Drosophila melanogaster: one gene and its partner. The protein of the gene in region 2 interacts with the protein of the main gene of each other region in a pairwise test. Each region holds a gene or a part of one and is shown on either strand. Other genes may lie near its edges.

Evidence for each region.
Region 1: the proteins of Slc25A46a (region 2) and CG4537 interact in a two-hybrid assay, tested with the Drosophila melanogaster proteins (one large-scale study listed by BioGRID).

The regions. Positions count from the first base shown.
Region 1 is NT_033779.5:9,889,031-9,891,907, reverse strand, and holds CG4537 (uncharacterized protein), read right to left. Parts: upstream 1,024-2,877; 5' UTR 999-1,023; coding exon 835-998; intron 776-834; coding exon 646-775; 3' UTR 572-645; downstream 1-571. Other genes in the region: mtDNA-helicase (mitochondrial DNA helicase), read left to right, coding at 1-557; CG34183 (uncharacterized protein), read left to right, coding at 1,168-1,196, 1,255-1,366, 1,425-1,522, 1,586-1,778; Fkbp59 (FK506-binding protein 59kD), read right to left, coding at 1,918-2,031, 2,139-2,276, 2,338-2,448, 2,503-2,860.
Region 2 is NC_004354.4:15,981,814-15,986,238, reverse strand, and holds Slc25A46a (solute carrier family 25 member 46a), read right to left. Parts: upstream 2,468-4,425; 5' UTR 2,320-2,467; coding exon 2,288-2,319; intron 2,226-2,287; coding exon 2,112-2,225; intron 2,049-2,111; coding exon 1,701-2,048; intron 1,646-1,700; coding exon 874-1,645; 3' UTR 834-873; downstream 1-833. Other genes in the region: ND-20 (NADH dehydrogenase (ubiquinone) 20 kDa subunit), read left to right, coding at 1-228; Cep164 (centrosomal protein 164), read left to right, coding at 3,719-3,875, 4,389-4,425.

The DNA of each region.
Region 1 (2,877 bases), on a different chromosome or scaffold from region 2:
ACCCGTTGGACGACCGGTTGCATGAGTTTAACCACTGGGCAGCGGAGTTTGAGCGTTTGCCGCTATACTTTATGACCTTCCACGGACAGCAGCCCCTTAAGCCGGTTCTGGAAGCCATCGAGCATGCGTCGTATGTGCACGATGTGATGCACGTGATCATTGACAATCTGCAATTTATGATGGGCGTGTCCACATTTCGAGGCGACAAGTTCTTTGAACAGGACTCTATTATAGCTGCCTTTCGCTCCTTTGCCACCAAGCACAATGTACACGTGACACTCGTAATGCATCCGCGCAAGGAGCGGCAGGAGGACGAGCTGACCACCAGCTCGGTTTTCGGCACAGCAAAGGCCACCCAAGAAGCGGACAACGTGTTGATCATTCAAGACAAGAGGCTGACTTCTGTGCGGGGCAAGAAGTATCTCCAAATTGCCAAGAATCGTTATTCCGGCGACCTGGGCATCATGCCACTGGAATTCGACAAAGACGGCTTGAGCTACTCAACCCAGATCCAAAATGCCAAGCGAAAACGGGAAAAGACGCCATCCGAGAACTGATTAGTAAGGCATTTGTTGTACTATAGGTTATAATTATTCTGTTGTCTATGGTTAGTTTAGTCTTAAGTGCATCCTTTGATAAACTGCATCACGTTGAGCTCTGCTTGTAGTTCTTGGTGTTCATGATCTTCTTGCCGCACATGGCGCATATGGCCTTTTTGTAGGCGCACGCCTGGCAATAGTGCGAACCCATCTGGTGCACTTTCTGTCGGCAGATTCTGGATAATTAAAAATCAGATTAAGATATGCAGATGAATTCTTGAGGAGATTTCCCTACCGGCAAGGTGGTAAAGCAGTCCCTATGGGATTGTATCGCTCGCGGGCCGAGGATAAAGCCTTGTTCTCGTTGATTTTACGTCCTCCCGCAGGAGCTGTGCTCGTTCGCCAGGGATTGGGCGCTGAAACTTTGGAGAGCTTGGCCTCGCACTTCTCGCAAACCATTTTTGTTATCAATTCAATTTGTTTTTTATTTACGTTTTGCAAAAACAGAGTGACCATTCCATTGATATTAATATCGATTGTTTGCTACCGATTGACCGCATATTTCCCAACTAAGTGTCTATCGAAGGTTGTTATCGACCATCTCAATTGCAAATTTTGGAAGCGTAAAATGACTACAGAAAAAGGGGAGCAGTTGAGGTAAATTAAAATAAATACATATTCAATATCACTGAGTGAAGTACTCACTGTTTTCCAGACAACAACTGATAGCGGCGGTGGTAAAGAAACGAGCGGCGATTGCGAGAGCCCATGAAATCGTGGTGCGGCTTTTGGAGCCCGGAATACCGGAGCCCGAGTTCCTGTCCCTGGTAAAATAATGCAAATTAAAAGCTTGACGGGTAGACTAAGCATTTCCTGTACACGCAGCTCTGTGAGATTGGCCCCCCAAATTATTCAGACATAGTGGATGAGCGGGAAATAAACAAACTTTGCGGATATCCACTTTGTTCGACAGTTCTAGAAAAGTAAGTGTTCCAACAGAATCTAGAGGTTCTTCCAATAATTATCCTTTATAACTACTCTTTTAGCGTTCCCAAGCAAAAGTACAGTATCTCCGCTTCCAAAAACAAAGTATACGACATCACAGAACGCAAGAAATTCTGTTCCGGATACTGTTTTAAGGCCTCCGAATATATTAAGTCACAGGTGCCCACATCGCCATTGTGGCTGCGAGATAGGGAGACGAGACCCAGCTTTCAGCTGCTACCACGAAATACTTGACCATCGATATACATAGCTCTCAAAGCGTTTATATTTATTTCGTATAAGCATTAAGACCATTTCTTCATTACATTACTGGATTTTCGATGTGGGATTATAAACCCTAGGGAATATTTCTTAAAGCACTAGTCGATCTGAATTAGATCATGATTATATTGTCGCGCTCCAGCGTCAATTCTGCTTCGCGCTTGGCATCCTCTTCAGACCACTCTCCGCACTTGCTCAGCACGTCAGTTTCCCGCGGAGGTTCGGTCTAACAATCGGTGAAAAATTGGTGATTTCAAGGAACGCAGAAAACACGCGGAGGAACGATATAGAAATGTTGTACTTTATTTGAATTTATTCAGTTGTAGGCAATACCTCTTTGTCGTTGGCAGCCAGTTTGGTGAACATGTTGGCATAGAGTTTCTTCTCCTTGTTCTTGCTCTCTTTGAGTTTCTGCTTGCAGATGATCACTTGGTTGGCAGCCGCTTTGTTGCCAGGCTCCAATTGGATGACCTAATCGAATAAATAGCAATACATTGTATTAACTCAATAAATATACGTTTATCTTGGTTACCTTTTGGAAGTCCTCTAGTGCATCTTCCAGCTCATTGATAGTCAAGTTGCATTGGCCACGACGGTAGAGAGCCTTTACATTGTTCTTATCCAAAGCCAAAACCTCATTACACTAATATAAAATAGTCAAATGTATAAATTATCCGATTTGAGCGCATGTACTCACCTCCTGCTTGGCTTCGAAGTGATCGTTGGACTTTTGGTGGCACAGAGCAATGTTGCTGTGCGTGGCCACCTTAATCTTCTTCACCTCCTCATTGGTATGGACAGTGGTGGGCAAAATGTTCTTGCACTTGGTGTACATCTTAATGGCTAGAGCCCAGTTCTCCTTCTTAAAGTAGTTGGTGCCCTTCTCCTTGTACACCTTGGCCTCAGCCAGGCGCTCCTCGTCGCTCAGTTTCCACTCCTCCAGTCCCTTGCCGCAGTCGACGAGCTTTACTGTGTACTCCACTGTGGCATTTGGTGGAATCTTAAACTCCTCATTGCCCTTTGCTCCAAATGCATACTTGGCCTGGATCTTGATTCTATTACGCGCGTTTAT
Region 2 (4,425 bases):
GACCAAATGCCCGAGCCACGTTGGGTCATCTCCATGGGCAGCTGTGCCAACGGCGGCGGCTACTACCATTACTCGTACTCCGTCGTCCGTGGCTGCGATAGGATAATCCCCGTCGACATATACGTACCCGGTTGTCCGCCAACCGCCGAGGCGCTCATGTACGGCGTTTTGCAGCTGCAGAAGAAGGTTAAGCGGATGAAGACGCTCCAGATGTGGTATAGGAAGTAAGGCAACGATCGGAACTTATATTTAAAATGTGAAACATCAAACGACATACGATTTTGCGAACAGAAATCATATTAAATATCGTTCTGTTAACGTTCAGTTGTTGTATACATTGTTTGTTGGATCACGAGGATATTGCAAATAAATGCCTTTCGATATAAATACAAACATTCAAGCTGTGCTTCTGTATCCAAACGTCAGCTTGAATCGTACGTGTGTTTGCCAACGGTCGTAATGAAAATCGTGAATTCGAAAAAAGTTTTGTTTCCCTTCAAAATGAGCGTGAAGTTAACGGCTCCTTCCTCTTTTTTTTATCGTGAATTGTATACACAACCATATCATTTAGTTGTCATAGAAACGATCGCACCAACCACAGGACAATCTGCTGTTTTTACTTAATTTTTCTGTATTCATTTCAAGGTCCTGACGTTTTCGGGACACAAAGTGCAAGAATATAAGCTCAGTTTAAAGTGTTTAAAATAGTTATATTTTTTAATTGGCAGATTTTTTTTTAACGCAACTGCAGAGTAAGCAAACCCTTAAAATACAATTATTCATGCTAACGTCCCAATAAACCCAACGAAAAATACAAAAAGAAATAAATATTTGTATAATTTACATATGCAATATAATTTGACTAGCCATTAACTAGTCTTGTGAATTCTGCCCAAGACTAATCTCCCCCATTTCGGTACTGGAAAGGCTTGGCGACAAGGTCGTGGACCTGGAGTTGCAAGCATTCTCATCCAGATTATAGTAATTCACTATTCGCTGTGGTGGTCGGTTGGAGATGACCTCTACGATTTGATTCACAACCCATTTGGTCAATTTGATGACGGCCACGTGTGCCGCAAACTGCAGGATCATGGCTCCAAAGCCCTTGTAGAGGCCACTAACTCCCTCGGAGACAATCGTTGTCTGATAGCAATCGACGACTCCTTGATAGTTTGTTAGAATGGGTACGACATCGTAGCCATTGTCGAGGTTGTCGATTATAGTTCGTGTTCCCTGCAATTGCAGACGGTGTAGAATCGTTTCGAACGGGAAGAACATGACCTCAGTGGTTATGATAGCAATAAGGCTGGCATAGATGTCCGCATTCTGTTGTTCCAGCGTGGTGTCCTGATACTTTCCACCCTGGCCGTCCTGGGAATTCTTTATACGAAGCCGCATTATGCGTGAGGACACGCCCCGTATCACGAGATTAAACAGATACTTGGTGATGCCAAAGGAGACACTTGGCCCGATTAGAGCCCAGGCTGGTAGCATACGGCCCTTTTGCGGAGAGCTCCAATAAAACAAGCGCAGACTTCCCTCCCGGAATACATCGAATAGACCGGGTTTCTCGCTGGCAATATCACTCTGCACCGTTTCGACGAGAGAAGCTGCATAGAAGGGCACCACCAGGCCGATACTTATGCTGTGAATTGAAAAGGAATAAGAGAATGGTCGAGATTAGGGTGTCAAGTGGGTACCATTTGAGCAGGAGATGCTGTCCGAAACGCTTTAGCGTGGTGCGACTATTCACATCCTTGGGCCAGCTGGTCACCTTCGAGATAAAGTCGTCGATGGCCAGCGTCATGCCGCGCACCAGTAGGCAGCTGCCCACGCCCTTCCACAGGGTCGTCAGTCCCTGCCTTCTGTGCAGGTGGACGATGCTGGGCAGAAGCTGAAAGGGATGCAAATGATAGCGTCTCGAGGCATTGTACACCTGGCACTGGCGGCGCAGCACCACAAACGGATGGCTAAGCAGGTTCTCGGTGACCAGGGAGACCCACTGTACGCCGACGACGTCCACAATCGCCTTCTCGCGCTCTTCAAGGCTGATTAATGGGAATTTATATAATTTAACAAATGAATTGATTTCGGATTCATTTCGGATGTACCTGCTTCCCAAGTGTTTGCTAGGGCCATAGGTCACGGGTAAATGTTGATCCCGGTCCCCAGTCCGATGCTCCTTGCCCAGGTGATCATCGTGCGTTTCATACTCCGCTTGAAATCTATAAATGGATGATGTTTATTAGTATGGCATCGTGATTATATATTATACCATTTTACATACTTTAGGCTAGAGTACTCATTCATTCCCGCCATAACTTTTCGTCTTCTTTGCTAGTTGGATATTTATATTATTAACTATTTTCAGGCAGGACTGGGTGGTGTTTTAAACATAATATCCAATTGTTTTGAAGTATAATTGGAACAATCCTATGGTAATTACCGAAACAAAAGGTCTTACTAATTTTGGTTTGGTATTAAAGCTTTCGGTGCGTTTCCACAGCGTCACATCTTATCAAAATAAGTGAAATCATTATTTTCACACTCCTAGTTAAGCATTATCTATATGTTTGGATATATGTTTGAAAAATATGAATTTATGAATCAGTTGTTTTTATATTGTGCATAAAAATTAAACATGCAGTATGAAATTGGGAATTAAACTATATTAAATTAGTAAACTCTTTTAAACCCGCATAGAATTAAAAACCCCAATACTTGAGTAATACCGCTCATTAAGAACAGCTGTTTGAGTAATAAATCCTTTTTAATGTCGCTACAATGTATTTTAAACGAAACCTTTATAATACTCCTAATCAAATCATATGCCACCCATTTTGTACAATACCTTATGTTCATTTTTTTAAATATTACAGTCAATTCCATGAATTTTTATACTTTAGCTCTCCTGAAAAGAAAATTGAATACCTTAATTTATTAAAAATGCTTCAAAGCAAATTGAATACCTTAATTTATTAAAAACGCTTTAAAACCAATAGAATACCTTAATTTATTAAATATGCTTAAAAAGAGGGCATATTAAGCTTGTTAATCAGGATCCTGAAATATCATTTTTGGTAATTGTGCATAAAACAACATAGTTTTCTAAAGAAAACCCTTGAAACGCTAACGAAAAGGTAAGGGAATCTAAACGAAGGAATCAATTTTCATGTAAAACGAGCATAAGTGGAATTTGCCCGAAATAAGGACACACCACACCCTTATTTCTCAGGTGTTTTCCTGCGATAGTATAACGACAGTATTAAAACCATGGTATTTTCCTTTTGAGGCTCTGTTCGTCTGCTTTCGTGGTGGAAAGGACAGGGACCTGGAACCTGGGAGTCGTCGGGCTGCGCGGACACGCAAACTCGCTGCAATATCCTGTTGCCAACCAGATAATTGGCCAGCAACCCACGTTCGGAGCATGCTCCGACATGGACACACGCACATACTGAGTGGTATAGCGATGACTCAGTAGGTATTTGTATTTTCATTTTTAGGTCAAACTGCATCCGATTATTCTGGCATTTGCTCCGCTGTCGGCAGGACTCGCTAAGGAATAGTATGGAGAACTATGAATGTCAAATCCGAAAAGTATAACAATATATGCAAATATATTGAACGACACTTCGAGTACGGATAACTCCCGGAGCAACGAAAACGCTAGCTCCGCTCGAGTTTCTTCGGTTAGTGAAATCCAGTTAAAGTACCCATTATGACGACGACCAGCGTGTGCAAGAGGATCTCCTCGAGCACGGCGTCCGCTGAGTTAACCAAATCCCTCCCAGCCACACCATCATCATCATCCCAGGGCTCGTCGTCCGTCATCTGCGAGGAGGTTTTCGACGAGGCGTGTTTCCCCTCATCGGAGGGTAAGTTCCGTTGACTAGTTACCCCAATTGTGGGTGAGAGTATGTAATATCGGCTTTTCCGGTGAAAATTCACGTTTGGCAAGCAATTCGTTTGCCTCGAATCCAATAAAAAGTGATTTCTTACATGTGTATAACGATTGAGGTAGGCGTGTTGACCATTTGGAGCATATACATATGTTCTTAGGTATATACATATATATACATCAATGAAAGACATTTTTTATCCTGCAAAAATCAATTTTATTATATATTATATATTCAAGTTGAAAATAAAGAAGAAAATCAAAAGAATAGAAATTTAAAATTTTACAAAAAAATATATATGTATATAAAATAGGGTTATATACTAGTTTTTATCGTCTTTTTTTTATAGCCTGTAAAAATTACCAAACACATTTTCATCTCCTTCACTATGCTAAAACAATATATTGAGAGCATATTTCATTATTAATTGTTAAAAGTTGTGCAACAAATTTTTATTTAAATATGTATATACCATTTTTTCCTGCACAGAAATCAATGAGTATGCCTCCCTGATTGGAATCGATCC